Linked DNA regions of Rhinolophus ferrumequinum. The protein of the gene in region 1 interacts with the protein of each later gene in a biochemical or structural test. Links are inferred from orthologs where the notes say so. Each region holds a gene or a part of one and is shown in the gene's direction. Other genes may lie near its edges. The genes, in order: CD244, INPP5D and SH2D1A.

What was found.
Region 2: the proteins of CD244 (region 1) and INPP5D interact in a biophysical measurement, tested with the Homo sapiens proteins (2 studies listed by IntAct). The link is inferred for Rhinolophus ferrumequinum from reciprocal best matches to the Homo sapiens genes CD244 and INPP5D.
Region 3: the proteins of CD244 (region 1) and SH2D1A interact in a biophysical measurement, tested with the Homo sapiens proteins (2 studies listed by IntAct). The link is inferred for Rhinolophus ferrumequinum from reciprocal best matches to the Homo sapiens genes CD244 and SH2D1A.

The regions. Positions count from the first base shown.
Region 1 is NC_046305.1:2,209,257-2,219,513, reverse strand, and holds the start of CD244 (natural killer cell receptor 2B4), read left to right. Parts: upstream 1-5,410; 5' UTR 5,411-5,609; coding exon 5,610-5,670; intron 5,671-10,257. UniProt on the Homo sapiens protein: Heterophilic receptor of the signaling lymphocytic activation molecule (SLAM) family; its ligand is CD48.
Region 2 is NC_046291.1:5,844,490-5,855,345, reverse strand, and holds the start of INPP5D (phosphatidylinositol 3,4,5-trisphosphate 5-phosphatase 1), read left to right. Parts: upstream 1-6,519; 5' UTR 6,520-6,676; coding exon 6,677-6,810; intron 6,811-10,856. UniProt on the Homo sapiens protein: Phosphatidylinositol (PtdIns) phosphatase that specifically hydrolyzes the 5-phosphate of phosphatidylinositol-3,4,5-trisphosphate (PtdIns(3,4,5)P3) to produce PtdIns(3,4)P2, thereby negatively regulating the PI3K (phosphoinositide 3-kinase) pathways.
Region 3 is NC_046284.1:32,675,632-32,686,541, reverse strand, and holds the start of SH2D1A (SH2 domain-containing protein 1A), read left to right. Parts: upstream 1-5,746; 5' UTR 5,747-5,833; coding exon 5,834-5,970; intron 5,971-10,910.

The DNA.
Region 1 (10,257 bases):
AGGCCTGCGTGTCCTCGTCTTCCTGTCAGTCCCTTCTGTGCCCTTAAATTACTGTTTCCCCACCTACCACCGTCCCCCAGTCTATTGATTAACTAGCAAGAGCACAAATAAGGAGTTTTCTAGGGTCATTTTGATTATTTCTGTGGAGGATACTAAGTACCGCTTTGCTGTACTCCGCTGCCTGATCTGGAAATCCCAACAGAGTTTGAGTTTTGTAGCAAGGACCCAAAAGGAAAAACAGGACCAATCAAACCATCAGGTCAGGGTCACAGGCGAACAAAAAAAATTTTCCAGGTGGAAGTAAAATCAAATTAGACAATAAAAGCAGAGATGATGGAATGATTCAGTAAGCATGAGAATTGTGAAGTATGTTTCAGTTCTGTATCCTGTTGGGAGGTGTGAGGAGAGGCCCAGGTGGCTCACTGCCCTGTAAGTCTCCTCACACCCTAGGCCACTTGTGAGGAGGAGGCAGTTGGTACCAGCCTTGGTATTCACCTCTGCAGCTTGCAGCCGCCCCTTTGGGTTGGAAAACACCTTGTCTGCTTTCATTGTATGATGTCAAAACTGATTTTTGTAATAAATGTTTATTTTTCACATTGAGTTTGTTTATATCCTGAAGTTCTACATTAAAAGAATTGGGACTCCCAGAGTGATGTATCCATTCAAAATCCATCTAATAGTTTTATTGATCAAGAAATTAGAGAGAGCCTTCTCCAAGCCTTGATTACACTTTAACGTACCCTGGGTCTGTGCTTGAATGGGAAGGGTTGAACTGCACATTTCTCATGTGAAACTGAGACTTGGGAGATGGGGAACAGGGCATTTTCCTGGAGATTGGGATTTTGAGACATGAGCCCCCGTGACCAGGGATTAATGATTGCGTGTAAGGATGTGTTCTCATCTGCACTGTATCTACAGGTCAAGGCCAGGGGAGGAAGAGGAGGGAACTAGGTTGGTCCATTTCTGAGTGAGGGGACAGTATGTTCTATGGGGCAGGGCGACAGCTTCAAGGGGATGAATGACGAAAAAGAGCAACTCCACTTGAAAAGAATTCTGTAGCTCCTCCAATTTTTCCCTTTTTTAAAAGTAGATATAAAATTCTAGTATGAAATGGATCTTCTTTCCTCTTTTGGGGTAACTTGTTCAATGATTAGAGGCACAGAAATTACAAGGAGCTTGCCTGAGTTCACATAACCAGTACTAGGCGAGTGGGACCTCTGGGGTTGGGACGGGGGAGGTGCGGGGGTGGGGGTGGGTGTGGGCGGTAGCAGGGGGAGGTTGGAGCTGGGAGCCCAATTCCTGCTCTCAGTGACCCTGAAAGGAAAAAGCAGGAGGAGGAGCCAACGCAAGGTAACTTCCTCTGTACAGGTGGGAATGTGGGTCTTGGGAGAGAGGACAATTAAAGTTTTGATGTGACTGCGGGTTTCCTCTGAGCTGTGACCGTATCACGTGAGTCTGCCATCCCAGCAGGATCTACTGGACAGAGACAAGTGAGCTCTTGACAAAATGGGCCTGTGAGTGCCACCTTCTGGAGTGAAGGATGAACTGCATGCATTTTTGCTGGTGACTCAGATGAAAAGGTATGTGCGTCATATTTACCGATGGCAAGCAGTTAGAGACGGAAGGGCAACCTCAGCAGCTTGCAGAATGATTTTAAAAAAGATCTCAGTAGACAGGAATGATAAATCCCGTCGTTGCCGACGGCACTAGATCCTGAAGTAATGAAGTTCTGTTCTAGGTTCCACACTGAAGACAGGTACAGACAAACTGAAATATGCTCATAGAAAGTGATGTGGACGGTAAAGGGAATTAAAAACCATGTCATACAGAAACTTGTAAGAGAAAGGAGAGGATGAAAACCAGGATGTGACAAGTGAAGGAGCGGGAGGGTGTGGTGTGGGGAGACCCATCCCCTCCGAGTCGTTTTATAACAGCACTTAAATCCACTTTCTGTTTCTAGTTGATTGTTAAACTATGCGGAAATAATGAAATGGTGGTGTTCAGTCATTATTTCAGTAAGTAGTTGGTATCACCAACTTCTTTGAGGGTGGGGGCTGTGTTCACCGAGCGTGCCCAGGGTCAGGCGCGTAGTGCTGTCCATACGTGGTGAATGAATAAGTATCAGGTTCCAAAATCAACATCAGTCAAGCTGAGTGACAGCTGCTATGTTGTCTGTCACCAGCATTATCACCTCTTGTCATTTGTATCGAAGTGAAATGAAAAGCAAAAGGGAGCCGAGGGACAGAGGGTCCCAGGCCCAGAATTTTTAAACGGTGGCACCACAAATACTTTGTTCTTGGTGTGTATGCAGGTCCAGAGGAGAACAAAGTGGCCTCATTTATTTGTCTCTGGTGAGCTGAGTCCTTTACAGGGGGCAGCGCTATTCCTAACCTCTGAGCCCAGTTTATGGTTTAAGGTGTTGAGGTGGCCGCTAAGACCCCATTGAAACTTTCCGCAGGGAGACCTCAGCCTGTGCAAAATAAGGCTAAACATTGAGAAGAGGTCCCTTTCCCTGGAAAGGGGCCTGGCAAGGGCAGTGTAGGGGTTGAGTAGCAAGGAGAGCCCCCATGGCTGCAAGCCTTTCTCACCCCTTCTCTCCAGTTTTTTGGCAGCACTCTTAACGGACTCATGACCTCTTACTCTGTTGTGATGGGGGTTCGTGGCAGGCTGCCCCAAATGTGCCCCTTTGGTATGTTTATTATGTGGGTTAAAGTTACTTTAGTTACAGAGACAGCCAGTTCAAGGAGGACACACTGACCCTCCTTTGTCCCCTGAAAGCAGGAACTCAGTCTCCCCTGTCAAAAGCCCTACCCTCCCTGCACCAGGAGGTGGGGAGAGACTCGGAACGCAGGGCTAAGAAGGCTGTATAAACAGACCTTGTTACTTCAGTAATGTGCTGCTCCAAGCCCAAACTTGTTTGTCTTGTCAATTCTTCACAAATGTATTGGTTCCTTGTCTAGAAGGTATAAATGCTGCCTGCTTTGGTGCTTTGTGTACTCTCATATAAGTTCCTGTACATACGAAATTAAAATTTGTTTTTTCCCCCCGTTTATCTGTCTTATGACAATGATTAGGTCAGCAAAAGAACCTATAAGGGTAGAATAAAAAATTTCCGTCCCCAAGTTTGCACACACAATACCTGGAGCCAATGTATATGTTGTAGGGGAAGAAAAAAAATTTTTCCCCCCCTTCCTGTTCTAGGTTTTCCAGTGGGGCCTATAAATTAGACTGACAAATGACAGGTTAACAAGAGACAAACACGTTTAGTAACGTGCATCATGCTTACACAGGGAAGCACTGTGAGATGAGTAACTGAAAGCAATGTTTAGAACTACGTTTACATAACACTCTAACAATAGTAGAATTTTAGAGAAGTGACAACACAAAGAAAAAGGACTTCAGGTTTCTCTGGTGGCAGATTGTGGAAACGAATGGAAGACAGGGACCACACAGGTTTGTTATGTAGATTCTTCTGGTGCTGTCTCTGTGCCAAGGGTCTAGAGAGTTGTCTTTGGTGATTAGCTTCTGTCCTTGCTGGTGGATAAGAGGGGACACCTTTACAAATTTATGTTCTGCCTTTAGGCCAATAGGGGAGGACAGAAGGATTTATTATTGTGATGATTATGAATACTCATTAGGTTTCAGTTACAGCTGACACTCTGTTGTTTTACGTTAGTGTCAGGTGTACAGCTTCGTGGTTAGACATTTATGTGACTTACGAAGTGGCCCCCCTGGTTAGTCTCGTGCCCCCCTGACACCACACATGGGTATTACAACAGTATTGACTGTATTCTCTATGCTGTTCTTGACATCCCTGCGACGGTTTCTTTCGTAACTACCAAGTTGTATTTCTTAATCCCTTCGTTTGACCCTTCCCTCCAACCTCTCTCACTTCCAGAGAGAGAGAGAGCTTTTCTTGTACCACTTCTCAGTTGCCTTCAGCTCAAAATAATATGCCAAAGTTGCCCGTTCTGGGTGTATTCTGGACATATTCGATGTCTTTTTTTTTTTTCTTGAGAGGAGTACCCCATGAAACACAGGTTGAAATCCTTAAAGATGTTCAAGCAGAGAAATGGTGGGGTTATTTTGCGTGAAACTGTCACAGATAAAGGTATGATCAACATGACACTCTTCAGTGCTTGAGATAAGAGATTCAGGTGGAAAGCAGCCTTTTGTGTCCCCTCACGGAGCCACAAGTGCAGGTGCCACTGAGGAGCCGACAATGTGGGAGTTGTTCCGCGGGGAGGGGCAGTGGTTGGCGGGGGCAGCCTGGGCTGAGTTTGCACAGAGCTTTGCATAGTGTTGAGCTGGAGGACATGCTTTAGAATGATTTAAACGCACTAACTCATGTTGTCCTCACACCTAAGAGGAAGGTCGTATTGTTATCCCCATTTTCAGATGAGGAATTGAGGCACAAGAAGGTTAGGTGCCTTACCAAGGTCACAAATCTGAGTAGTGGAACCGTAATGCTAACCCCTGATAGACAAGGCTCCAGAGCCTGAATTCTCGAGCCCAGTCACTATTCTGTGTCCACCAAGGTCTCGGGAACATAATTGTGTGTATGCAAAGGAGCTAGTGGAAAGCTTCCCTAAGCCAAGTCTTCATCTTTGCTCCAAATCCAGTGCTGTGTTCTTCTCCCTCTCTTGGCTGCCAGGATTCAGTCTGGCCTCTCAGCCCAGTTCCAGACAAGGTGAGTGCGAGTGGATCACAGGATGGAAAAAGGAAGGGTTGTCCTGAAGGGAACTGCAAGTATTTGCTACTAAAGGGAAAGAAGAAGAAAGAAAAGGGCTTGGGACCCTGGGCTGTGGCCTCCAAACCAGTACGTCCTGGGGGGACGTTAGAATGAACCCCTGACCCTCCCTGGGCTGCCTGGCCTCTGGAGTGTCCAATTGAACTGTGGATGGGAGAGCACGGCAGATGTGCGCCTCCATCCCATGTGGTGAGGGAGGGGAGACCTAGGGGAAAGCAGAAAGAGGAAGGGAGGGAATTCAGCACAGATAGGGAAATGAGCAAAAGCAAATTCTTCCAGAACATTTGAATTTGCATGTGCTTCAAATTAGGGATCAACTTGCAGAGAACCCCTGGGCCTGTCAGGGTTTTCTAGTGCCCCCTACTCCTCTAGTATTGCACCCACTCAGCTGAGGTCCCGCTTGTCAGCCCACACTGTCCCCAACCATTCCCCCTCTCCCTTCACAATGTCTGTTGGAATGAGAGTCCAGGATAATGGCTGGTCCCCATGTAGGTTTCTCCATACTGCCAGTGGGATGAAGAGAATTGGAAAATTTCATGGGTTTCTGCTCTGCGGACAAAGCCACTGGGTGGGGGTAGAGTGAGAGGCAAGATTTTGAAGCTGGTTTGTGAGTCACTGAACCCCCAGTACCCGCCCACTTGAGGCCAACCTAGCAAGTTCCGTTGTGAGAACTGTCCGACCGGGTCCAGGCATGGGGCTGTCTCTGCAGCCTTGTCGGCTGTGAGTGAGAACAGCCGAGTTGAGGAAATTGTGGCCAGACAGGCAGCGAGGCAGTTCTCCCCCTCGTCCCCTGTGCCTGGTGGCTGCACACAGCGTCTGCTGGGAGCCGTACAGCCAGGCTGACCCTGTGTCCTGTGGGATGTTGGGCCAAGCTCTCAGCCTCACGCTCCTCCTGCTCCTTAAGGGGCATCAGGGTCAAGGTAAGGGGCCCGGCCTGGCCGGCGGTGGGGCCGCGGCCCATGGGGAGGTCAGCACCCAGAGCCTCTGACTGGATCTGTGACTCGAGCAGCCCTAACAGGTCTGGACAGGCTGGCAGTGGACTTTGGGAAATCACTGAGAAGCTCGCTGGCTGTGGCAGTCAGCAGTCCAGGCAGCCCCAGGCAAGGAGGTTGCTTTCCACTGACTTCGGGTTCCCTTCTGCGTGCGGAGCATGTCCTTCCTGCCGGCTGTAAGAAGGAGCAAAGGAACACGAATTCTGTGGGGTTGCCAGAAGAGATGAGGACTGGCCCCGGGCTTGGGTTTCCCTAGGAAGTCGTGCTGCTCCCTGAGGCAGGGAAGCTGAGCAGGACTCAGGCTTTCCTGTACAGGTCGTTTGTCCTCTAGCTCCTGTGGCTTCACAAAGCTACAGGAGCCTGAGAATTATTGGGGAAATGTGAGGCTGAGGTCGGGGGCAGAGATTGGGAGAGAAACGGATAATATTAGGATGCCCCTTGTCCTAATATTGTCCTAACATTAGGGCAACGTTAGCAAACCACAAACTGCCAGCGGGATACCAGGCCTGCTGTTTGCTGGGTGGGGCTCTCAGCCCAGGGCACTTTTCCTCTTCCACCCACTTTGAGACTTTGAGCCTGCATTTTAGGTCAGTGATTCTTGGAGGGGCATCTTGGGTGGCGTGGTGTGAGAGGTGGGCCCACTGGGGTGCAAAAGGAGGGAACTGAGGCACAGGGGGTGTTTGTCCAGGGTCTGTTAGGAAGCTGAGGTAGGACTGACAGGATCTGGGGCCTGGCTTTGGGGCTAAGAGTGCCAGAGGGTTGAGGCTGAGATCATGAGCCTGTGTGACAGGATGGTGGTCCCTGCACCCCGAGTCCAGGCTCCAGCCCTGTCGTTGGCTATTGTGCAGGGGGCTGGGAGGGCTTCCTGGGGCAGCGGACGCATGGACTTGATCTGAGGGGCCTTGTTTCTTTCCCTGCCAAGTCCTCTGTCTGTGGGGCCGGCCTGGTCAAAGGTGACTGAAAGCGCTCTGTTTATTTGTTTGAATTTTTAAACATTTTAATTTCAAATAATTTCAGAGTTGCAGAACAATTGCAAGGATAGTGCAAAAAAATTTTGTATTTCCTTCACCTAGGTTCGCAGTTGTTAACTTTTTATCACATCTGCTTTCTTTCTTGTTCTTTCCGTATATATGTGTATGTGTATAACGTATGATGATTTTTGTTGGACCACTTGAGAGTAAAGCCCCTTTGCTCCCACGTATTTTGGCGCACAACCTGTAAGCAAGGACGTTTGCGTTTCCTACCACGTCAGCAGAGTGATCAGAGGTGGGAACCTCGACGTGAGCGAACTCACAGTGCATGTTCAAATGTTGTTGGTTTTCGCAGTAACGTGCTTTATGGCTTTACTTTTTTCCCATCCAGAATCTAGTCAGGCTCGTGTATTAGATTCAGTTGTTTTGTGTTTTACGCCTCTGGGATGGCCAAGCTTTCCCCGCGTTTTGTCGCTGACGGTTTTGGAGCTCTGGGGACGGCTCCTCATTCTGGGTCTGCCAGACGTTTCTGTAAGTGATTCAGGTACTGTATTTTGGGCAGGAATACTGCAAAAGTGATGCTGTTCATTGTCAGTCCCATCAGGAGATGTGCTGAGGGTGAAACTTTTTCTTAAAAACTTGGTTTATTGAAGAATTTAATATGTGAGATACTGAGAGGCTCACGTCGCTGTCCAGCTTTGCAGAAATCTTCCAAGGGCTCCTCACCCCACAGTGAAAGCCCTACATTTTACAGAGGTCTGCGGCCTCCTGGTCTCGTCCTTCTGCTCTTACTGCGTTTCAGCCACACCGGCCTATGGGCTCACTGTCCCCGGTCCTACGCCCTCAGCATCGTCCCTTTCCACGTGGCTTGCTCCCTCTACCCCTCTGAGTTCAGCGCAAACACCAGCTTCTCGCCCTGCCCCCCCGACCCCTGCCCCCCCCCCCCGTCCTCTTTGCCCCCCCACCCCCCCTTCCTCTTTGCCCCCCCCCGCCCCCCTGCCCCCTTTGCCCCCCCTGCCCCCTCTGCCCCCTCTGCCCCCCCCAGCCCTCTCCAGCTGTCCTGCAGGTCCCAGGCCCTCTGCAGGTCGCATTCCACCCTGTTGACTTGCTTATTTTCTGTCTCCAGGCTCCACTGTGTCACCAGAATGTGAGTCCCTTGGGGCTTCTGTCTCTTTTGCTCACTGCTGTGTCTTCAGCATTTCGAACAGTCTCTGGCACAAACAGACCCTCAGTTCATATGTCAGAATGAAAGAAAACTTTAAGTAACCCAGGGAATAAAGTGAGCTTATCTATGGGCTGGACATGCTCTGGGGAAAAGCTGTTCCCGACGTGTGAGCACGTGCTACCTCCCAGTCTTGAGCCCTTCAGCTAACCCTGTCTTCCAGCTTTTCAGGGGAAAATGAGCTCAGCGTGGTGCCTGCTGCACAGGGATGTGCAGGGTTAGGGCGGATGTGCTGTAGAAAGTGCTTAGAAAAATGTGGAGGTCTAACAAGTCCCCAGGTGAGTGCTCATGTTATTCGGTTCTTTGGAGGCAGGACATATATTTATGTCACTTAATTGTGTGATCAAAGGCAAGAGACAGACTATGCAGTGACCCTTCACTGACTAATAAGCTGAGTAGAAAGGGATAAGCCGCGGACGTTCAATGTGTGGTTCTCTGAGGGCTCCTCATTGTCACACCCAGGCTCTCAGGGAGCCTCCAACATTTTTAACATAAAGGAGCGTGTGTTATCATTCTTACATCGTACTGTAAAACATGCTTACTGTTCTCACAATATCACCTCCCTTTCTGTCCCTGTCCCCATGTGTGTGTGGGCAGCTTCGTGCCAGGTGCTGGGTGGGCACTGAGGACTCGGGGTAGGTCCATGGCTCCCGTTCCAGAGCCGACGTCGTCGCGGGATTTCTGTGTAATCCCAGTTGTGACTCATGTACACTGAGCCCATCAGTGCTCGGATCATGTCAGTTGAGTGAAAGAATGAGTTATTTTCAAGTGTCTCAGGCAGATTGGGATGATTTGGGGGTCAGATGAGTTGGAGACCAGGGACCTTCACGTCACGGCCCACAGGAGAGGGCCTGAACCCTAACGTTCATCTTGGACCAAAGGTCAGGCCTTGGCTGCACATTCTGAGGAAACCACAAGGGACACATTGGAGGCTGTGAACGCCCAGGGGCTGTGGGCACAGAGGTGGCGCGGGCAGCATGGGGGTCCTGCCCTGAGGGTGGCCGAGTTGCACTCACTTCCCAGAGGTCTGATGGCCGCTGCTCGTGCTGGGACTCAGGCAAGTTCTGAGAAGACAGCGTGGTCGGGCTCATCTCTTCCCATCACAACCTGTCAGTGATGAAGCAGCTGGGCATGAGAGAGCCTGGGATTCGACTCAGGGCCACCCTGCAGGAGCCTGCTTCTGGGGAACCAGAGTGCTGGGGTGACCAGGCCATTGTCTTAAACAAACCTTTATTATTGAGGTGTGACACGAACAGAGAAGTGCATGTGACTGTCGTGGGCATCTCTGAGTGGCTGCTAGATGAGGGCAGCTCCGTACGCACACAGGCTTTCTCCCCTTTGTTCCCTCCCCCCGCCCCGCTGCCATAAGCACAGTCACTTCTCTGACCTCTGACATCATAGGTTGGTTTTGCCGTGTTTAAGTGGAATCGTACGGTGCTGTTGTGTTTGTCTCCTTTCCTCTCAACATCTGATGGGATGTTATCATGTTGTTATCTGTGTTGCTGTCTGTATTGTTATTTGGCTGATCATTTTCACAGCTGTGTAATATTTCATAGTGCGACTATTGGATAGTTTATTCACCCATTCTACTGCAGAGGACACTTTGGGCCACTTGCAGGTTTTCTGTGATAACGCCATGTGAGCCTTTCATCCTGGGGGCCTGCAGGGGCGTAACCCTGTGAGGCAAAGGCCGGTGCCCAGGGGACCGCGTGTCGGCGGCCTCCATGAGGAAGTCCTCCATCAGAGTCGTTTCCGGGAGTTACCGAGATGCACTCTGGGATTCAATTAGATAGTTCACTGAACATCATCAAGCCTTTATGTTACAAGAACTATGCAAGAATTTGTGGGGGAACAAAGATGAGAAAGAAGATGTTGATTCTGTTCATAAGGCTCTTTCAGAGGGAACTAATCATGTAAAATCACAACTATAAGGGAAGACAGGAAATGCTGAGTCGCTCACAGGGAACGAAGAGACCAAGATTCCTTCTAGATGGGGCACTGGGGAAGTGTCCTTGAAGGATAAACAAGAGTGGAGGAGAAGGGACAAGGACCGTGTAAGCGAGGGGGGCAGCCTGCACAGAAGCAGGGAACACACAGGGTCTGAATGGAGCCGTGAAAGGCAAAAGCACTTGTTATCTTGGAGAAGACTAGTGTCACATCTAAATGACGTGGTCCAGTTGACACACAAGGATGGAGACGTGGGTGGGTAGGTTTGCCAGAGGGGAGGGGCTGCGTTGCCTGAGAAGAGTTGGTATGTCAGTATGCAGCCTCCAGGGTCGGGCGTGGGCTCTGGAGGTCACTCTTTAGGGTTTCGCCTGGGCT
Region 2 (10,856 bases), on another chromosome or scaffold:
CAGTGCGGATTGGAGGCTGTAGCCTGGAGGGATGGATAAGACAAATGCGGATTTGGGGAGGAGCAGGCAAAGCTGGGCAGGCTCGGGGGCTCAAAGAGGAGGGGGGTTTCAGCAGGAGTGCCAGAAAAAGACTGTGCTTCTGGCAGCCTGCGGAGCTGGAACAGTCCAGGGAAGAGGTGATGTGGGGGGGGGAGGGGGGGAGGCAGAGGGGCGGGGATGGTGGGTAGAAATGCAGGGGTGGAGGGGCATTGAAGAAATGACTTTCATGAGGCTTTAGGAGCCAATAGGTGGGCTTTAGGAGCCGATGCAGTGAGGAAAATCCAGGGCTTCCTCAGACCAGGGGTGGCCATGCAGGGGAGACATCAGAAGACGAAATTGCTCAGAAGAGTCTGATGGGATTGAGGCCGGAAACAGGAGGGTGGGTATGTTTTTTGTTTTCGGCACATCAGTGAGGACTGCTGGCTGCTGAGGTAAAGAAGAAGAGGAACAGAATACGAAGCTGGGGAGGAGTTGCCACGTAATCTCTGGGGAAAGTGAGTGGCTGTTGGCAGAAAATGCATTTAGGAAATGCAGTCACAGGCCCTGCCAAGGAAGGGTTGTCATGATTCAGGCTTGGGAAGTGTTCGGAAGCAGAACAGAGGTTGGAGGCAGCTCAGGGGCCCGGGGAAGTGGCCGCCCCAGCACCAGTCAGCAGCAGCCAAGCAGAGAGCTGCTGTCTCCGGAGTTTGGCAAATCTGACCCCAGAGGCCGAGAACCAGAAGGGGTTGGTTGCTATGACAACGTGGTTACCTTGGGGAGACCACTGGTGTGTCTTGCACCAGGTATGGGCTTAGTTCCACAAAGATGCAAATCTGTAAGGTCCGCCAAGGCCATTGGGCCAGCCCCTTCACGCCTCATGTTCAGCCCAGGAGACACACCCAAGCAGCTTTCTTGGGAAGGGACTGTTTACATTTTGTTAAAAATTCAAATCATGTCTTAAATCCAAGGAGGACAGCTCAGTTTTAAATGCCTGCTGTGATGAAAGTCGAGAATCCTTTTGAAACACAAGTTACCAAGGCCTGTTTTTTAAAGTCTATTTCAGAAGTGGGGTTTTCATCCGTGTCGCTTTCTTCAGGATGGCTCCTCTAGGCTGAAGGAAACAGTAAGCTCCGATTCTCCTGCACCATGGGTATGGCAATTGCCGCAGCCACTTTAGAAGACAATATGGCACAATTAATCAAAACTGAAACTGTGCACCACCTTTGAACCTGAGTTGCTCTTCGGGGGGTATTTATCTCTGACTGCACAGGACCCAGAGACACGGCCACGTGTGTACACTGTGGCATGGTTTGTCATAGTAAACGCTGGAAACAATCTAAGTGTCCATCAACAGGAGACTGGTACCATTAATTATGCTATGGCATGGAATGGTATGCTGGCTTTAAAAAAAAAATGTGGTAGGCACAAAAAACCACCACAACATGTTCAGAAATATTGTTAAAGTGAAATAAGCAAGGTGCACAGCAGGGTAAAAAGCAAAGAGGCCTTGCAAAAATATGGTATATGCATAGAAGGTTTTGCAAGAATACACAAGAGGCTGGCCTGGGGGCAATGGGGTTAGGGGTCTGGGAGGGCAGGAAAATGTAGTTTTCATTGTGCTGGCTGAATTTTTAATATGTATTACTTTCAATAAAAATTTAAAAAAGATCCCAGAGAAAAGTCATTCTCTTCCTTATGACTCCCTAGGGATGTGTGTGTCTTTGGAGAGGCTCCCAGCCATGTACATAAAGCCACGCTGTGCCACAGGATTTTATACACCCCTTCTGGAATTGGAGTTGGCTTGTTATTTATTTAATTTTTATTATTATAGAAGTAGTGTGTGGTCATAAAGGAGTCTGGAAAAGTAGGAGGAAGGAAAAAAAAAAATGCCTGTAGAGATGCCACCTAACTCAGCACTTTTCATAATCAGTGATTTCCCAGTATACACTTTTTTTTCCATAGTTAAAATCAATATTTCTTATCGGTTTCCTGATATTTTTCTTTCTTTTTTCCTTTTCACTTACCATTGTATTATGACTATTTTCCTTAACAATCTTGGCAAAAGACACAAGATATTTTTGTGGATGTGATTCTCCCTTACTTGATTCTTGCCAATGTCAAACCTAATTTTCCTTGTTGTAGTTCACCCGTTTGATTTTCCAGGATCTTCAGTGAAAGGGCAGAATGGCTCATTGCCAGGCCTTTGGTAGTCACGGGACGTCATTCAGCGCAATTATGGACTCTGTGGGACCTTGGACCCCTGGGGAAATCTCCTTCATCCCTGTTGGCATCGTTGCTATGGGAACACGAAAGTTGGGGCTCTGCAGAGCGTCACACCTGAACGCCTGGTGGAGGCTAGAGTTTGAGGCTCCCCCTGGTGGCGGAATCACCAGGCTCAGAACCTGACCCATTTAGGTTATTTTTAGTCGGAGATACAGAGGGCTTTATAGAATCCTGTCCTTTTTCAAACCAGGGTGGATAAGCCAATGGCGAGTGTCACTGACCCTGGTTGTGTGCTGGAGCCCACGGACGCTCTGCCCTGCAGGCACTGGTCTGGAGGGCCACCTCGGAGACCTGCCTTGTCGCGAGCACCTACTTTGCACGAGGCATGTTACGTAACTTCACAGAGTCGCAGACTGAGATTCAGACGCCAGATATTTGTGGCAGGGCTGGGACTGGGACCCTGGTCTCACATGTGTGTAATTCAAGGTCTGATTTGCACTCTGAAACAGTTACCAGAGATGTGGAGGGCACAGGGTGGGCGGGTTGTGAACCGAGACCTCACCCTCCCACTCTTAAGGATGCTCCAGGCCGCCGTCTCAGGGACGACTAAACCAAATCAGAGCCAAATTTGTGTGTGCCGGGGTCCAGGGAGAGGATCCGGAGAGGCCAGCTCCAAGAGGCCAGGAGCAGAAGTGGAACTGGGACTCAGTGCGAGGGAAAGTGAGGCGGCGGGATCCTGCCACATAAGCTCATTGCTTTAACACTGAAGGTTTGTCGGTTCTTCCTAGAACTTCTAGAGATGGCCAAGTGCCCGTGCCCTGATGCCTGGCAGCCCACCCTGATGGTGCTCACTGCACTGACTTCCTAGAAATTTTCCTCCAGTGCCCGGGACTGGCCAGGGTTGGCAGTGTGGTTGGGTAGGCTGCCTCAGCCTGAACATGGGCCCACATGAAACATGACCCAACTTTTCCCCTTCAGCTGCTCTCCAACCCTCTGCCCTATGTGCGAGGTTGACCAGATGCCCCCAAGGAGCCCCGGGACTCAAGCCCATGGGCTCTTTTTGGAGCCGTATGACTGGGTATGATTCAAGGGAGCAGCTTGAGGAGCAGATCATGCTTTCTGACCAGTGTGGTATTTCTTTTGTGTGATGGCACAAGATTGGGCTGCTGGGATGGTTCTGAGATGCTGATTTTGGATGGTTCTTACTGATACCGAGCACAAGACAAGTTCAGGGCTCTGGACAACCCATAATTCATGGCCAGTCCCTGGCCTTGAGCTGTGTGGGCCCCCAGGTCACCCCTCACCTGCAGCGTTCCACCCATGGTGCTGCCTCTGTTCAGTAGCACTAAGGATGGCAGAGATGGCGGCAGGTGTTATTTACCCTCGACACGCCTGCCAGTAGTGCCTGGGCACTCATTCTACCCCCTCTGGAGGCGCCTGTCCAGCTGTCAGGCCGCGTCTCCTCCAACGGCTCGCGAGACCATTGCTCTGCAATACCCATGGGCTCCTCCAATCAGCTCACATGAAGCCGTCCAGGATGCCCGTAAGCAGGCCAGGTGCGGATGCACATTCCTTGAGAATGGGACCACTCTCATGTGTGCAAGGCAGGGGTGTGGTCATCAGTGAAAGAGAGCACTGGGTAGCAATGCAGTGATTATGGTCTAAACAATTCACGAGAAGCTGGTTAGAAGATGTGTTGTTCTCCGTTTATGCTACGAATGTCAGAACAGTAGCTTTAACATGACTACAAAATCACGTACCGTTAACATTTTCTCACACGCTCTGGGCAAGACACGCATCTGTGTTTATCCGTGAAACAAAGAAACAACCTCTGAGGGAATTACCGGAAGTCGGTATTCACGGGTGGCGTGAGTAATGGTGCCACCAGCAACAAATAAATAGTGTGGGAAGGGGGCAGAGGCAAGGATGAACAGGTGCTGAAAAGCCACGACATTGTGAAAAATTGCAGCACTGTTGACTTCATCTCCCTGCACAAGATATGAAATCAGCCAGGAATAGTGTGCTTGTCAGGAGAAAACAGGACCTGAACAGGAAGAGAGGACCTGGACATCACTTCATATGCACCAATTAGACATCGAATATATGCGTACTAACCTCCTCTTTATCCATTATTCTAAACCTTATTCAATAAATCACTCTACCTCAATGGATCCTTCGATTTCATAACAGTTCTTAGTACATTGTTTTATAGATAAGGGCCCTGCAAAAAAAAATATTTACCTGGCCCCCACCTGCCGTTAGGGCAGCCCTGAGCGAGAAGTTGGGGTTTTCTGAGCGTGGGGGGCTCAAGGACAGGGGGACAAGGAAGCTGACCATGTCAGATGGCTCAGGCAGTTGGGTTGGGAAGGAAGTGAAGATGGGATGGGCCTTAAAAATGAAGGAAATGAGTGTCATGTGTGTGTCAAAGGGAAATCACACTGGAGTCAAATGGCCAGGACAGTCCCACTGGCCACCCCCAACTCTGCAGAGATGTGGGACTCAATGGGAACAGAGGCGTGAGGCAGGGAGGGTGGGAAGCTGGAAAGTGTGGGGGAAAGATGGTTCTAAGAGTCTTAGACGTGCTGCAGGTTCTCTAGGATGAGTTGGTCAAGGTACAACGGGGCCAGGATTTCGGATGGAGCCTCCTGATGGACCCTAGAGTGACCCAGGGGCTTTGAGGCTGAGAGCAGGGTGGAAGTTGGTGCGGGTCAGCAGGGAAGCGAGGAGAAGGGTGCAAAGTGCATGATGGGAGCATCCAGGTGAGGTAAAGCTGAGGTGCGGGGAGGGACTTCTGGGGAGCCGGCAGACACAGGGTCCGGCTGGTTGGGGGAAGGCCAGAGCATGGAGGCCAGCGCTATGCCCACTGTGTCCCCTCCCCCACTGAGGGCCTGCCCAGAGGGCCCCTGATACAGGCTTGCTGAAGGTTTAAAAGTTCAGTCCTTGGGTTCGGTGGGAGGAATGGGGAGGGGGCTTGGGAGGCAGAGTGAAGACTGGACTTCTCTGGGCTCACGTTTCCCAAAAGGAACTTCACCTGGAGCCCAGAGAAGGCCTGAAGTGGGGGGCCACACTTATTCCGGGCCTCAGAATCAGGACGGGGTCAGTCCACCCGGATGACAGCACTTTGCTCACTCAGCATCACCTGCATCGCATGCTGCTGCAGGCGGGAGGTGCTGGCGCTCCTTGGCTCACGTGAGCTCCTTTAGGGGCTATTTTCCTTAAGGTAGAGGCCTGGCTTGGGCCCTGGAGGGATTCTGCTGTCATGTCCTCCGGGGTGAGGCCTCGGGTTGGGAGGCCACCCCCTGTGCAATAGATCAGAACTTACCCCTTTACCTGGTGGGCCTGATTCAAGGACTGAAGGCACCCAGTCTGGGGCCCAAGGGGCAGGTGCCCACTTTGGAGCCCTCAGAATCTGCTGGTCCTGGCTGGTGGCCTCATGGAGGCAGTTCCCCTTTGGGCTGTGGGCAAAGGCAGCCATGCCTGGCTGCCCCCGACGCTGCTGAGCTGCAGGACTCAGGAAGGAACGTCATTCTTGGTCAGGTGGCCAGTGGGGATACGTGGGTTTCCCGAATGTTCTGTGAAGACCCAGAGGTGAAAATTCCAGCCTTTATTCATGCTGCCATGGAGGATGTGTCGTCCAGTTTCTTTCAGACCCACCAGGCCCAGGGAATGAGTGTGAAAGTGTCAGAGAGCTCCCGTGTGGGCCCTCGGAGGCATCAAGCAGTGTCACCCAAGGTCCTCCCAGCAGCCAGGGCTGTCTGGGGTCTGGATGGCCATGAACCTCCAATATGGAGAGGAGGGCTCAGCTGTAACCCTCCCCTCCATTTTGCTCAGACCTGGGCCAGGCCTTAGCCCCAACTGAGAAGGTGGACCCGGAGCCTCTGTGCCTCGGGTATGTTGGGGGGAGGGCACAGGGAACTGAAAAGCCCTGGGGTAGGGCAAGAGGCTGAGGGATCTGTCCAGGAGGTGGCCATCCCACGTGGGCATCGGGCCAGGCCTTGGAATGGCCGCTGCTTTGGCCTGTCCACACCTGCCAGGCCACTCTTCTTCAGAAGCCAGCCATGAGCCTCCTGACACCACAGGAGCTGCCAATTCCCCTAGGACTTGAGCTGGCATTTGACCCTCTGGGGACTGGGACTCATTAGAGGAAAGAAAAAGGGCCTGCGAGTGAGCGGGAGGGGGCGCAGGCTGGGGATGGGTGGTGGAGGACTGGGCGCTCCTCCGGCTGGGTCTCTGCAATGAGGAAGTTCTCTGCAGCTCGTTTCCTTTCCCTCGCCGAGCGCCTGAAACAGGAAGTCAGTCAGTGAGCTGGTGGCAGCAGCCGGGGCAACAGAGAGGGGACAGACGGCAAGTGGCCGTGCAGGGGCCTCACTCCCCGTGGTGGCGTGTTGGTCCTGGGGGTGGCCGCCGGTCCGGCCCGAGGAGGTCCACGCCCGCCATGGTCCCGTGCTGGAACCATGGCAACATTACCCGCTCCAAGGCAGAGGAGCTGCTCTCCAGGACGGGCAAGGATGGGAGCTTCCTCGTGCGTGCCAGCGAGTCCATCTCCCGGGCCTACGCGCTCTGTGTGCTGTAAGTATGGTGTTGCCCCCGCCCAGGCCCTCCGCCGGGGCCTGGCCTCTCCTGCCCGGGCACAGAGATACGGAGGTGTCACTCAGAGAAGGGAGGCCAGCCTGGGCCTAGCCAGGGGCCCGGCACTGAGACGGGTGGTTTCGTGTCACGGGACAGAGTGACCTGCCTTGCACACTTCCCGGGTTTGTTGGTGAGCCTAGGTGAGGTTTCCTGGGACTTGCAGGCCTGGGAGTTTGGGTTTTGCCATGTTAGAGCTCTCCAGAGCCACTCTGAGGCCTGGTCACACACCCCGGCTGCCCATAGCTATGGTGCCAGGGTGTCCTCAGGGTCTGGAGTCAGGAGAAGGGGTCGGGGCTCTTTGTGGCAGGCAAAGCTCAGGGCTCCATGGTGGTGGGTGTGTCAGAAAGCAGTTCGGTGTTGGTCAGAGATGCCCAGTGTGCAAATCCTCATGGAAGAGCAGATGTGGCAAAGGGGACACTTCCCATGCCAGGTTTCGAGTCCCTGGAGGAAGCTGTTATAGGGGAACCATGAATATGGGGTGGGTTCACTGAAGAAAGGACTTTCAGTTCACCCAGAAGTGGCATCCTGGGCCGAGAGCAGAGGAAGTCACCACCACAGGCAGTTTTATCCTCACGACAACCTGCAGTGCGGGTCCTGTTATCACCCCACTTTGCAGATGAGGAGACTGAGGCGCAGACAGGTTAAATGAGTGACAACAGTCAAATCCAAGGCCATCTGCTCCCAGAGGCTATCCCCAGACAACCAGACTTCTGCCACCCCACTCCTGCCCCTGTCAAGCCGAGTGTGAAGATAGATTCCAGGTGACAGCAAGAGAGCCAGAATGTTTACAAGGGCCAGCTGGCAATACTTAGAAAATAACCCAGGTTCACAGCTGGCCCGCTGGCTTGAGCTCTGACTGCGTCAGAGGGCCCACCTCCCAAGGCCAGCTTCCTGCACCGCCCCCGCCCGCCCCCACACACACACTCAGGGGAAGGGACACAGGCCTGGATTTCCCCACAGGCACTGCCCCCATGGGGACCCACCAACAGGGCTTTGGAAAGAGTAAGGAGATACTGAGCCGACTCCACTCAGCCCAGGTGGATTTCTCCCCTGCCCCAGCGGGCCCTGCATCCAAGGCTGATTCATTAGGTGTTTGCTGTATGCCAGCCTCCTGCAGAGAGCTTCCAGGGCACCTGCTGGTTAACAGGCATGATAGCCCTTTGACCAGGAGCTGTGGCTGTGCTCAGGCTACACATATGGATGGAGGGTCCCTCTGATTCCAACTGGGAGCATCGTGGCCAGTCAGAGCCAGAGCTAGGACCAGAAGCCTTGGGAACCCCTCATCCGACGGCCCCTGAATTTGCAGGTGAGCAGATGGAGCTCAGAGAGCTGGAGTCCTTTGTCCACACTGCCCGTTGGCTGGCAGCAAACTGGGATTCAGGCCTGGTTTCTGGAATTCACTCTCTGTCCCTCCCCTCCCCTCACCTGCACTGAGTTCTCAGACCTGTGGCAGACGGGCGTGGTCTGCACCTTAGCAAGGGTGCCCAGGCTGCCTACAGACGTTCACCACCCTCTAAGCTCACGCCTGGACTCCTTGTCAGTCTCCATCCTCAAGGTCCTGACACCAGGGCCGCTTGGCCAGGCCTTCCCCCCCAGCCCAGGGCTCCCCTTTTCCTCCGCTCTGTGGGTGAATCCACACTTCCTGCGGGCTCAGGAGCCACTGTAAGCTGAGGAATACCATGGACCACCAAACTTCCCCAAAACCTGGGCCACCTCATTTTGCTGCTACCCTTAATTTTGCTAATTAAGATTTAAAAACTCAGTGACAATTAACTGCCACCTTCCAACAGCTCATTTCATGAAAGAAAGCATCCTTTAACACCAAAGAGGCAAAAAAATAATAATAATAAAAGCCAGTGTTTTTAATCAAATAGATTTAACTTCCTGAAAAACAAACTTCACCACCCTTATGTTCTCTGTTCCCTGTGGACCGGTCAGTGGAAAGCTCGCCCCACGCCGTCCTTGGTTCATGGCCTGGTTTTGGGAATCCTGATGGGTGAAGAACAGCTGGGCTTTCCTCCGTTTCAGAAGTGGCAGGCTTCAGCCCTCTGCTATCTCTCTGGAAGTCAGCCAGGTGCAGGGACCCTGAGTGGTGTGGCTCTGGGGTCAGGGCCGTTTAATAACCTTGCTCTAAAAGTGAGCCAGGACTGCTGAAGGAAGCCACAAAGACGCTCCCCCCTGCTCTAGAAATAGCCATATGGAAAAGACCTCACAGCCCAGGGTGCCCACACCTTATCCTGCCTGGGCCCCAGGGGCCAGGACTTCTTCCTGCTCCCCTCTGGTGAGTGAGGGGACAGCAGGAGTCCATCTGATGGTTTAGGCGGCTGTGTGTGGAGCTCCAGGAACTAAATGTAGCTTCCTTGGACATGCTCAGGAGTGAAGACAGGATTTGACTATTTAAATGGAGCCAGGAAGGGGGGTGGGGGGCACCAAAAGACAAGGCTGCAATTCAGTGCTGCCCAGGTGACTTGAGTACACAATCACCCCAGGCCTAGCAAACCCGCATTTCCTCTCAAGAGTCAGCCCTGCCACCTGCCACTGGGCAGGAAAGCTCAGATCTGTCCTAAGGCACTCAGAAGTCTTGCTTTAGGGGGACCCTAGAGGCCTGTCTTGGGGTACAGTGAACCCCAGGGAGAAGACCCCAGGCAGCCGACCACATGGCTGCACAGGGTTTGAGTGGGGTTGGGAACAGGCTGGAGAGGGGACCCCTATGATGGAGTCACAGAGAGGGCCTGGGAGGTCCAAAGATCCAGGAGGTGCAAAACGGTTTCCTGAGGTGTGAACGGATGTGACATAATCCTTTTCTCTCCCTCCAATCTTTGTGCAAAGCTTCAGTCAAGTTGACACTGCTCATTAACTACTGTTGTGCAAATGCAAAGAAAAACAGTTCTTCATATCTGGTATTAAAAGAAAGTGGGCGGGAATGCTGGCACAGACAGTAGCCAGGAGCCAGAGCTGGAGAACCTGGGGTTCCTGAAATCTGGTTTCCATAAGAGTTTGTGCACGACCAGGAGGGAATGGAGGCCCCGAAAGCTGACGGAGTTAGTGGGTTCGTGGTATCCTCTGTGTGAAGTGACTCATAACAAGCGTGGTGACGTTGAGTGTCTCCAGATTTTCTGTGTCTGTGCCCAACACCCCAGAGCAGTTTTTCCACCCAAGGTTTCACAAGCTTGCCTACCTGACAGGTTAAACTCACCTGTGCATAGAACGTCACCGCTTCTCCACTGAATGGTCCCATCTCCTGGAGCGTGAACCCAAGCATGGTGATGAGATGTGGTCCTCCTAGCCAAGCCTTCCTCTTTGGCCCAGTGATGGAGTGAGAGGAGGTCCACTCTCCCTCCCTAATTCATGCCACATGACGCAGTCCTTAGGGGAAGCCCTCTGTGCTTGCCTAGGTCTGATGCGAGTTCTAGCATCTGCGAGACGCTAGCTTCCTTATGCCCACACAGCTTCCTCATTGGTGAAACGCCTACTTGTTGGGTTAACTTTTTTTACTGAGGTATAATTTACATCCCATAAAATCACTCCTGTACAGTGTACAATTCCGTGATGTTTAGTACATGCATGATGCTGTCCAACCATCACCACTAATTCCAGAACATTTTCATCATCCCCCCAGAAAACCCTGGCCCATTACTGGTCACTCCCTATTCTCCCCCCTCCCAACCCCTGGAAACCAGTAGTCTACTTTCTGTCTCCAACCATTTGCCTATTCTGGATGTTTCATATTAGTGGAATCATACACTATGTGGCCTTTTGTGTCTGGCTTTTTCCACCTAACAGAATGTTTTCAAGGTTCATCCAGGTTGTAGCACGAATCATCCCTTTTTATGGCTGAATAATAATAGCCGACTGTATGGATACACCACACTTGATTCGTCCGTTCATCAGTTGATGGACGTTTGGGTTGTTTCTATGTTTTGGCTCCTGTGAATAATGCTGCTGTGAAAGTCACGTCCAAGTTCTTGTAGGGACATACGTTGTCT
Region 3 (10,910 bases), on another chromosome or scaffold:
AGCGTTTTTCATCAACACTGCAATAATGGGCTCACTCAGCTGTCAGCTCGCTTATGAGATGACAATGAGGTACTGGACGTGTGAGTTGTACTATTACCTTATAATTTATCTGTTCTTTTTTTTAAATACGACTTTACTTGTGCTGAACTCCATTGTACCTGGCTGTTTTGACAGGTGTGCTATTTTAGCAACACCTAACAAAACAGAACGAAAAGAAGAATGCATGGCATGTTTTTGCTGTCAGATCTAGGTTTCTCTGTTCTTAAGTTTGTGGATGATTTGTTCAAGGTTGTTCAAGGAAAGCTTGGCTTTTGCTGTTACCTGTGCCACACTGAATATTCTCACAGTTTACCTCAACAGGTGGGCTGTTGTCCATATTCACTGAACAGGGAATCTTCTTCCTTACCTTCGGTTCATGTTTGAAATTCCACCATTTTGAATAAATTTCTTTCAGCTAGTCATTTGTCCGCTCAAAATATAAAGAGTTCAGGGCAGACTAATCTCTCAAGCTCACTTAATATTGGTGTATGCATTCACTTATCAGACCGATTTCTTCCTTGACCCAAAGCATGCAAAAAGGTGAAAGATGAAGTTAGCCATAAACAAATGAGGTAGGAAGATAATGAGACAATCTTGGCTCACTTCCCTAGAGCCATCCCCAAATATCATCTCAAATGCTGTTTAATTAATTTATTTTTATTCTTGGTGTTGTGAATGACTATGGAAGGCTTATATTTATACTGTATTTACTAAGGTTGATAGATCCTAAGGCTGAGCATGCTTCAATCATGAAGGATAGGAGAGTTACCACCAGCTGTCACAGAAATCTTAGTTGTTCTCAAGCCCAGTAGGTAGAGCAAATATCTGCCATTGGTACAAGGCAGCTATGTGCATCCAATCCATTGGTAGGACATGTGAGAATTTAAAAATTGTTCTCCCTATTGAGCTCCCAGCCTTGCCATGTTCTCAAGGCACTCGGTACTGAAATTGTGAAAGATACAACAGACAACATATCTTCAGGTATTTAAATTCCAATTATAAAAGAATTTTACATAATCAAAAGGAAAAATATAGAAGACCATTCAGCTTCAAGCATTAAACAAAGTCTTATTCTAGTGAAAAAGGAGGACACTTTTGGGAAATATTACCTAACAGCACATTTTGAAATAGAAGAAATGCTTTATTTCAGAGAAGGAAATGAAGATGGAAAGGTTTTTAAAATAATTGATGATACGTAGTTTAGCATCACCTAAAGAAAAAACATATTCTCTATTAACAACAGAGGACAAAAGTTACAATACAATTATCCACACTTGCAATATGATTTAAAGCAGGTTTTATACCCCAGATGCTGAAAGGAGGGTCCTATACATCAAAAAGCACGTACAAGTTCAGGTAAAAACAAAACACCAATTAAATAATTCATGCTTTCATTTAAGACTCATCAAATGGATAAAATTAGAACATCTTTGGACATAGACTGATCTTTAAAGTAAAAAAGAATCTTTCAATTACAATTGACATACAATATTATATTAGTTTCAGGTGTACAAAATAGTGATTTGACATTTATATAATTTACGAAGTGAACACCCCGATACATCTAGTACCTATCTGACACCATACATAGTTATTACCATATTATTGACTTTATTCCCTATGCTGTATTTTATATCCCAATTACTATTTGGTAACTACCAATCTGTAACTCTTAATCCCTTCCCCTCTTCACCCATCTCCCCCATCCTTACTCCTATCTGGCAACCATCAAAATGTTCTCTGTTATCTATGATTTTGTTTCTGTTTTGTTTGTTCATTTATTTTGGCTTTTAGATTCCACATATAAGTGAAATAATGTAATATTTGTCTTTCTCTCTCTGATATATTTCACTCAGCATAAACCCACTAGGCCCATCCATGTTTTTTACAGATGGCCAGATTTCATTCTTTTTATGGTTGAGCAACATTCCATTGTATATATGTACCACTTCTTCTTTATCCATTCATCTAATGATGGACATTTAAGTTGCTTCCATATTTTGGCTGTTGTAAATAATGCTGCAATGAACATAGGAAAGCACATGTCCCTTTAAACTAATGTTTTTGTTTCCTCGGATAAATTCCCAAAAGTGGAATTACTACGCTCTTCTATGCCTCTTGTTATAGCCTTTATTTTAAAGTCTATTTTGTTTGGTATAAGTATTGCTACTTCAGTTTTGTTTTTTGTTTTTTGTTTTTGTTTTGTTTTGCTTTGTTTTTATTTCCATTTTCATGAATGTCTTTTTCCATCCCTTCACTTTCAGTCTGTGTGTGTCTTTAGATATGAAGCGAGTCTCTTATAGATAGCATATGTATGTATGGGTCTTGTTTTCTTCTCCATTCAGCCACCCTATGTCTTTTGATTGGAGCATTTAATCCATTTACATATAAAGTAATTGTTGATAGATATGTTCTTATTGCCATTTTATAATTCATATTTTAAATCTTTTTTTTTCCTTCTTTATAAAGTTTCTTTAACAATATTTGTAATACTGGTTTGGCGGTGATGACTCCTTTAGCTTTTTCTTGTCTGGGAAGCTCTTTATCTTTTGATGCTAAATGAAAGCTTTGCTAGGTAATCATGACTGTAGGTCCTTGCTTTTCATCGCTTTGAATATTTAATGCCAATCCTGTCTGGCCTACAAGTTTCTGCTGAGAAATCAGCTGACAGTCTTATGAGAGCTCCCTTGTAACTGCCTTTCTCTTGCTGCTTTTAAGATTCTCTCTTTGTCTTTATCCTTTGGCATTTTAATTATGATGTGTCTTGGTGTGGGCTTCTTTGGGTACATCTTGCTTGGGATTCTCTATACTTTCTGAGCTTGCATGTCTAGTTCCTTCACCATGTTAGAGAAGTTTTCTGTCATTATGTCTTCAAATAAGTTTTTAATTCCTTGCTTTCTCTCCTCCTTCTGGTACCCCTATGATGTGAATGCTGGTATGCTTGATGTTGTCCCAGAGATCCCTTAAACTATCCTAATTTTCTGGATTATTTTTGCTATTCTGATGGGCTGCTTTCTGCTACCTTATCTTCCAAATTTCTGACTCGATCCTCTGTTTCATCTAATCTACTGTTGATTCCCTCTAATGTGTTCTTCATTTCCGTTTTTGTATTCTTCATTTCTGAAGAATTCTGGTTCTTTTTTATTATTTCTATCTCCATTTTTATGTTTCCTATCTCTTTGTTAAAGTTCTCACTGAGATCACTGAACATCCTTATAACCAGTATTTTGAACTCTGCATCTGGTAGGTTGCTTGTCTCCATTTTGTTTAGTTCTCTATCTGGAGCTTTGTTCTGTTTTTCATTTGGGACATATTTCTTTGTCTCCCCATTTTGGCTGCCTCCCTGCATTTGTTTCTATGTATTAGGTAGGGCTACTATGTCTCCCAATCTTAGTAGAATGTCCTTATGTAGCAGGTGTCATGTGGGGCCCAGTGGTACCGTCTCCCTGGTCTACTGAGCTGAGTGCTCCATGTGTGTTCCTTGTGTGGGTTGTGTGTGCCCTCCTGTTGTAGTTGAGCCTTGGGTGATGTTGGCATATCAATGGGAGGGATTGAACTTCAGGCTGATTAGTTGTGAGAACTGGCCATGACTACAGTGGAGGAGCTGTTATGGAGGCTGACACTACAGGGCAGGATTCTCTTTAGTGGAGCTCTGGTACTTGCCAAGTCTTCCCTTTGAGTGTGTTGTTTATGGAGGTGGTTGGGTGGTGCTCTAGTGTGGTCTGAAGCTGGCAACTGGGTGTGTTGATTCTGGGGCCTCTTGGAGTGGCTGTGCTGCAGGCCAAGTTCAGTCACTGCCTGTGCCTTACCTGGGGCCACTTGGCATGAGCTACAAAGTAATCTGAAGATAATTGCCACTTGTACTTGGCTTGGAAGTTCCTGGGAGAGGCTAAGCTGTAAAGAAAGGCTGGGTGCTGCTGGGCTTGGGGATGTTTAACAAGAGGTATGAGGCACCATGAGGCCAGATGCTCCTTATTTGCAGTTTGTGAATGTTTGAGAGATTTGAGGAAAGTTTACAGCATGAGGCAAGACAGGCTGTTTGTATGGTGTGGGGACAGAGCCAGGATTGCAGTTTCCAGGCTCTCAGTATCACATGGAAAGGTGCTGGCTCAGGTAATAAATGGCTATCAACTGTGATTGGATGGCCATCAGCTGTGGCTAGTTGGTGGTCAGCTATAACCAGTGAGCCATTGGCCACTAATATAACTGCTGTGGCTACACTAGCAGAAAGTCGGGGGCCTAGCAAGAGGATGGTGGCCGAGCTGGCAAGCGCATATTGCAGTTAGCACGGCAGAGTGCAATTAGCACTCACCATGTCCTGTGTTCTTATGTGGGGAGCAAGACTTCGAGACCCCACCTGACACCTTGCATGACATATCGAAAAGCCACTGGAAGTGGCTTGGGTGAGCCTGAAAGTTGGGTAGGGAGGAGTCTCAGGGAAACACCAGGGCAGGGCCAACGGTAGGTGTTAGCCAGGTTGTTGGAGACTCAGGTATAGCAGCTGCCTGTGTCTGCATTCTGAGAGGTAGGAGTACTCAACAAAGAAACAATGGTTTCTGCCAGCACTTCTCTCTGGGAGAAAGTTGGTCCTCCAGCTCTTGCCCTGAAGCCAGACAATTCATTTCCTCCCTCTATGTCCCTGAATCCTTTCAAACTGCTGCCATAGTGCTGGAGCTCAAAGGGAGTGATTCTGTCAATGAGCAAATCCATATGCATTTCCTTTAAGAGGAACACCTGGGACTCCAGCTGCCCTCTGTCTCACTTAGCCACAGTCTACCCTTGTTTTCACAGCCAGAAGTTAAGGTGACTTCTCTTCCAGGCACTGTAACCCTGGGTTGGGGGGCCTGACCTGGGGCTGGGACCCCTCACTTCTCACAGGGGACCTATGCAGTGGAGATATTTATCTCAATTTTTAACTGCCACACGTGGGTTGGGACCAGCTCATTTTATTTCTCCATTCCTTGTATCAGTCTCAACGTGACGTATTTTGTATATCCTTAATTATAGGACTTCTCTTCAACTGGATTTCAGGTGATTCTCAATGATGGTTATTCTGTAGTTTAGTTGTAATTTTGAGGTGCTCATGGCAGGATGTGAGCACAATATTTACCTACTCCACCCCATCTTGACCAGTTACCAGACATAGACTGATTTTTGAATGTCAACCAGCACTTTGGGAACTTGGACAAGAAAGGAGAAAAAATCAGTATTTGCCGCAGGGCCCTCCTGGTTGTGCTCAATAGTGATTACACAGTGATAGTAGTGACAGCTTCTGAGTTTTTGTCTCAGAGATTTTGGTACTTTCATTCTCTGTCAGTGTTTTTCTGACCCCCATGAAGGACATGTACAACTTGCCTCTATCATCATCTTATTTGGGAACTAGTTAAGCTGTCATCCTGCTAGCCTCTGGGAAAACTGCTAGAATCAAAGTATTACCAAGCATTCCTCTGTGTACACTTTGGTAGTACAGCCCAAATCTTGCAAGGACCTTCTTCCCATTTTCTTCCCCTCTCCACATGAAACCTCTGTTGTGCGGGTGGGGCAGGTAGGGGATCGAACACTGTGGCAATAATCAAGCTGCTAAATTGCTGAGCTGGTTTTAATTGAAGTGTGAGAAGGAGGTTTTAAGGCAGGTAGACAACATCCTGTTGTTCTGGTGCTCCTCTCTCTCTTTTGCACATCTGGCCTAACTGGGAGTCAGGTGGCTGACTCGTGCATAGTAGCAGCAGCAGGAGCAGCAGCAGCATCCCTTCTGCTGTCCCACGCCTCAGCCCGCCCAAGAGTCCACCAGGCCATGGATGCAGTGGCTGTGTATCATGGCAAAATCAGCCGGGAGACAGGGGAGAAACTCCTGCTTGCCACCGGTCTAGATGGCAGCTATTTGCTGAGGGACAGCGAAAGTGTCCCAGGCGTGTACTGCCTGTGTGTGCTGTGAGTATGTCGCGGTGGCTGGGTCTAGGGACTGCAGAGGGTGAGCACTGGGAGTGAGCATGAGTGGCAGGGCCAGGCAATGTGTGGGCCACAGGAGCTGGTTGCAGCCTCTTCCACTGCCCATCCGATGGCCCCTAAGGCTTATTTAGGTCCAGCCCAGGATTATGGTGGACCATGCTTTAGCTTAGTCCCCTCACTGGGGATTTCACTCTCCAGAAAGTCCTCCCCAGTAACTTTTGAGGGCAGTGAATGCCACTTTGGGTGGGCAAACACAGCCTAGAATTTACCTTTGCTCCGAGAAACACCCAGGCTCCTGATTTCCATTTTGACCTCTAGTAGAGGCCGGCAAGGTAGAGCCCGGGGATGGTGGAGTGGCCAGATTTGGGGCCAGCAGCTCCTGACAAAAGAAAAGGCTTCTCTACACCTCTCTTTAAATGTATTTGAAGGTGTCATCCCAAAGGAAGACCATCAAATTCAGGGAGGGGAAGAACACTAAGAAACTTAATACATTAAGAATGCAATGTCAGTTAGGTAGGAGGTTGAGAGGAGAATGTTTGTGAGTAAAACTGCCTTTCTGGATCTGCTTATTTAGCTTCCTTTAGAGGAGTTGTGTGTGGGACAGGACCCTTTCTTAATAAAAGTTAGGACAGACAATAGTTGTAAAGGACCTGGAGGGAAAACACCTTTGTTATGAATCACTTTTGCCCTTTATCTAACCATGTTTTTGTCTAACGTCCTATTTTTAATCAGATGCAACTTCATCTTTGCTCCAGAGCTCCAGAGTCAGACAGACCTGACACTTAATCCTGTGCTAGTCTAATGTTAGGTTTGTGACCTCAGCAATTAACCTCTCAGTCTCTCAGTTTTCTTATCCATAAAATAATATTACTACCTACCTCATAGGATTGTGAGGATTAAATGCCATAATGCAGGTAAAACTTTGGCACTGGACCTGAGAGATAGTAAATGTTCAGTAAATGTAAGCTATTATTATTATTATATTCCTTTTTTTTCCCAGTCAATTTCTTTTAGTACTCATGGGGCATTTCTAAGGAAGTAACTAGCTCAATTACATTTTGTCAGCATGATAAAAAAAACACCCATGGAAACAGCTGCTTGTACAGTAGGTTCTAGACAGAAACAAAATAAGGGAAAATGCTTGGTAGTAATTTTGGTAACTAATGATGTACTGCAAGCTTTTGAAGTACCTTCTGGGTCAGTAAAGAAAGATTACACTGAGGCTGATAATAGAGGATTTTCATTGTTTACTTTATTTTTTTAATGGTCAAGCCACGCTTGTGGTAACTCTCAGGACATGCTAAATACATTTATTATAAAGGCTTTAAAGGAAATAAATGGAAGCTGTTGAATTTCTTAGGCTCAGAGCTTTATGTTTTGCTTATATTATTGTTTTTCCCAAGCAGAAACTGGGGAAGGTCAATGAAAGCCAAGTAGTATTCTTAGGCCTTGTTATTATCAAAAGATGATGGAGGAGTGAGTGGGTCATGAAAGGGGCTTCTTTAGGAAAGCTGACAAAGGAGGGCCCCTTAAGTTAGAGGTAAAAAATAAGGTACAAAAAAAGCCTGGGCAAGGGAGGGAGAACAGAGGACAGTGTGTAGCAAGATGCACCTCAGGCTTCAACCACACTGTCATCTTTGTTGTTTCTCAAGCTTGCCAAGCATGCTTCCCCCTTAGGGTCTTCGTCCTTACTGTTGCTCTTGCTTCTTTCCTCAGAGGGGACTTTCTTGATCACCTCATCTAAAATAAGTACCCTCTCCTTGTCCTTGTTATATTCTATTTTTTCTTCAAGGAGCTTTAAACTATCTGAGATTTGTTTGTTTACTTATTTATTGCTGGGCTCTCCTGCTAAAATGTAATCTCCATGAAAGTAGGGACATTGTCACCTGCAGCAGGAACATAGCCTGGCACATAAAAAGCATCATAAAGCACATAATAGTCACTCAATATATATTTTTGAATTAATGAATGAACTGTCAAAGCAAATGCTGTTCTTTACTACAAAGAGCTATGGACTGATAATCAGGCCAGCATGTGGACTCTGGAGAAGTCACTCAACTTCTCTGGGTCTTGGTTTCCATATTTGTAAAGTAGCTGTCTGCCCTGCCTTCTGCATAAGATTGCTGTTGGTAAAATATGCAACATATAAGGATAACTTTAGTCTTTTGCCCATTTAGGCCAAGATCACATATGGAATTAATTTAGGCAGGTGGGGAATTCTAAAACATTTAAGTTTTCGCCCAAAGTGAATCTTGCATAAATGCAGTTTTTATGACTCTTTGTTCTCCATGCAAACTTCCTTATGAAGTAGCATAAAATAGCAGGCAAATTAGGAGTCCCCCGAGAATCTTTTGATGGACACACTGGGGCCTCCAAGTCTTAGATGGTGACTGTTAGACCATGCTGCAGAAGCAAGACACACAGATACATTGCCTTTTATAAGTTCTCAACTTTTTTGAGCCAAAGGTCCCTTTTGATAAACATAAACCTTTCATTCCCCCATTTCAGTACTATGCTGTAGTAACAAAATCACATTTTATTTTGAAATAAACCATGTACTCATTTTAAACCAAAATGTATATGCTTATGATGTGCAGCAGGAATAACAATGTAAATGGTATCATAGATACATGAACAAGAAGGTATAGCTAACAAACATGCACTGATTATAGGGTTTGCTCAGAATAGTTTCTCATTCTATCTTTTGTTTACTCGCATTATCCAAGGTTTGGTTGAGCTTCAGTTTCTGTATTTTATTGTAGAAATAACACATTTCATATGCCTTCAAACTGTAAATGACACTTTCAAAATATGCTTGCTCCTTCCCCGAGTTCTGAACCCCCAGTCATGGCCTTTAGGTATGGCCTTTTTCTCTGTTCAGTTTTGGGAAACTGAATCTCATCAAGTGCTAAGGAAGTTTTCCATTTATAGGACTGCACACCTTTATTTAAAATGAGAAGTTGTTCTTTTATTTTCAATAAGTAAATTTAGATTTTTGTGTAATCAGTTTATTAAAAATAGTTTCTGATTATTCATATTATAGAAAATTTGAAAAATGTAGATAATGCAAATGAGGGGAAAACTGTCTATAGTTTTATAACCTAAAGACAATTATTATTGAATATTAAGTCGATTTTTCTCCATATATTAATTTAAAAATTGCTTTGTAAACACACATATGCTCTTACAATATTGTATTCTGATGTGTTTTCCACTTAACATGAAAAAAATAACCATTCATATATAATGTTCTTACGAATGATTTTTAAACATTATTTTTAATGGCTGCATGATAGTCCAACCAATGAATGTACTATATTTTCCTTAACTAGTCATCCATTTTTAGACATTTGAATAATTCCATTCTTTTTGCTATTATAAATTGCATTATGATTCATATTTCAGTCCATACAAGTTTCCTTGTATTTGTAATTGCTTCTTTATAATGAATTTTAAAGATGTACAATTTCTAGGTCAGAAAACATGCACAGTTTAGGATTCTTTATGTATACATGATCACCAAATATTTTTTTCCTAAATGGTTCTTCCAATTTATATATACTGTCACCAATAATGCATGAGAGTGTCTCACTGAACCCGGCCTGGAAATGGGTATTCTTGTTTTAAAAAAATTCTCCTTCAAATTTGGTGTCTCACTCTTTATTTCATATTTCTTTGATTAATGATTGAGTGTCTTTTATATGGTCAGTAAGCTGTTGTAATTTCTTTGTGTACTTTGCCCATTTAACCATTTGGATCTTTTTTTATTTTTCTTAACACATTATGAGATTTTATATACTAATCCTTCATCTGTTGCAAGTATCTTTTCTCAGTTTGGTGTTTCCCAATACTTTTCTTTGATACACACACAAAAATCGACATTTCTAGTAATCAAATCCATCACACATTTTCTTGATGTTTGATTTCTTTCTTTGCTTTCCAGCTTAGAAAGTTCTTTCTCCTCCAGAGATGTCATGAAACTTCACTTCAGTTTTTGTTTTAAAGTGATGGTTTGGTTAGTTTACATTTAACTATTTAATTCCATTTGGAATTTTATTTTAACATAGAGAAAGGATCTAATTTGCTTTTGTTTTGAAATAGCTAACAATTGTCCCAGTATAATTTATAAATAGAACTTTTCTTCCCCATTGATTTATTAGCATACTTTACCATGTATTACATTCTTACATATAACAGTTATTGTTTTGCAGCTATTTATTTGGTTCAATTAATCTATTTGTTCTTATATTACCAGCACTATAGTATTGTGGGGGCAGAAAAATAAATTTTGCTGCTTTTGTATTCACCTTAAGACCAATTTGTTAATTCATGCCCTTTGATATGAGAGAGCCCAGATTTTCCAGCCAGATTCTCTGGCCCATCCCAACTCTGGCCCTTAACTAGCTATTTTACCTTGGGGAAGTTACTTAACATTTGTATGTCTCAGGTTCCTTATCTTTGAAAAGGGAGATGGTGATAATAATAGTATTTACCTCATGGGATTATTTAAGAGGACTATTACATAAGTTAATATTTATAAAGTTAGCATGTAGTAGGTATTTGTTAATATAAATAAAAGATATATAAATAATTGCAATACAAAGTTAGATCATCATAGGAGTAAATAAATAAAACACTATGTGGTAGTTCAGGAGAAGAGATTATATTTGTTGTCAGGACTCATCGAAACTGGTATTATATAGTTTTGCCATCAGACTAGAAGCTGAATGAATTTTGACGGTTCTGAAAATTCAAATTCACTCTGAAAGAATGACGACTGGGCCATAGGAAGTTCAGGGACCTCTTGAATCAGAGTATAGTCTCAATAATGATGGCTTTGTATAGGATATCATTCTTCTAGATATAAAAGTTCTGAAATATTTGTCAAAAATTACTTACATTATAATTGTGTCTTGAATTTT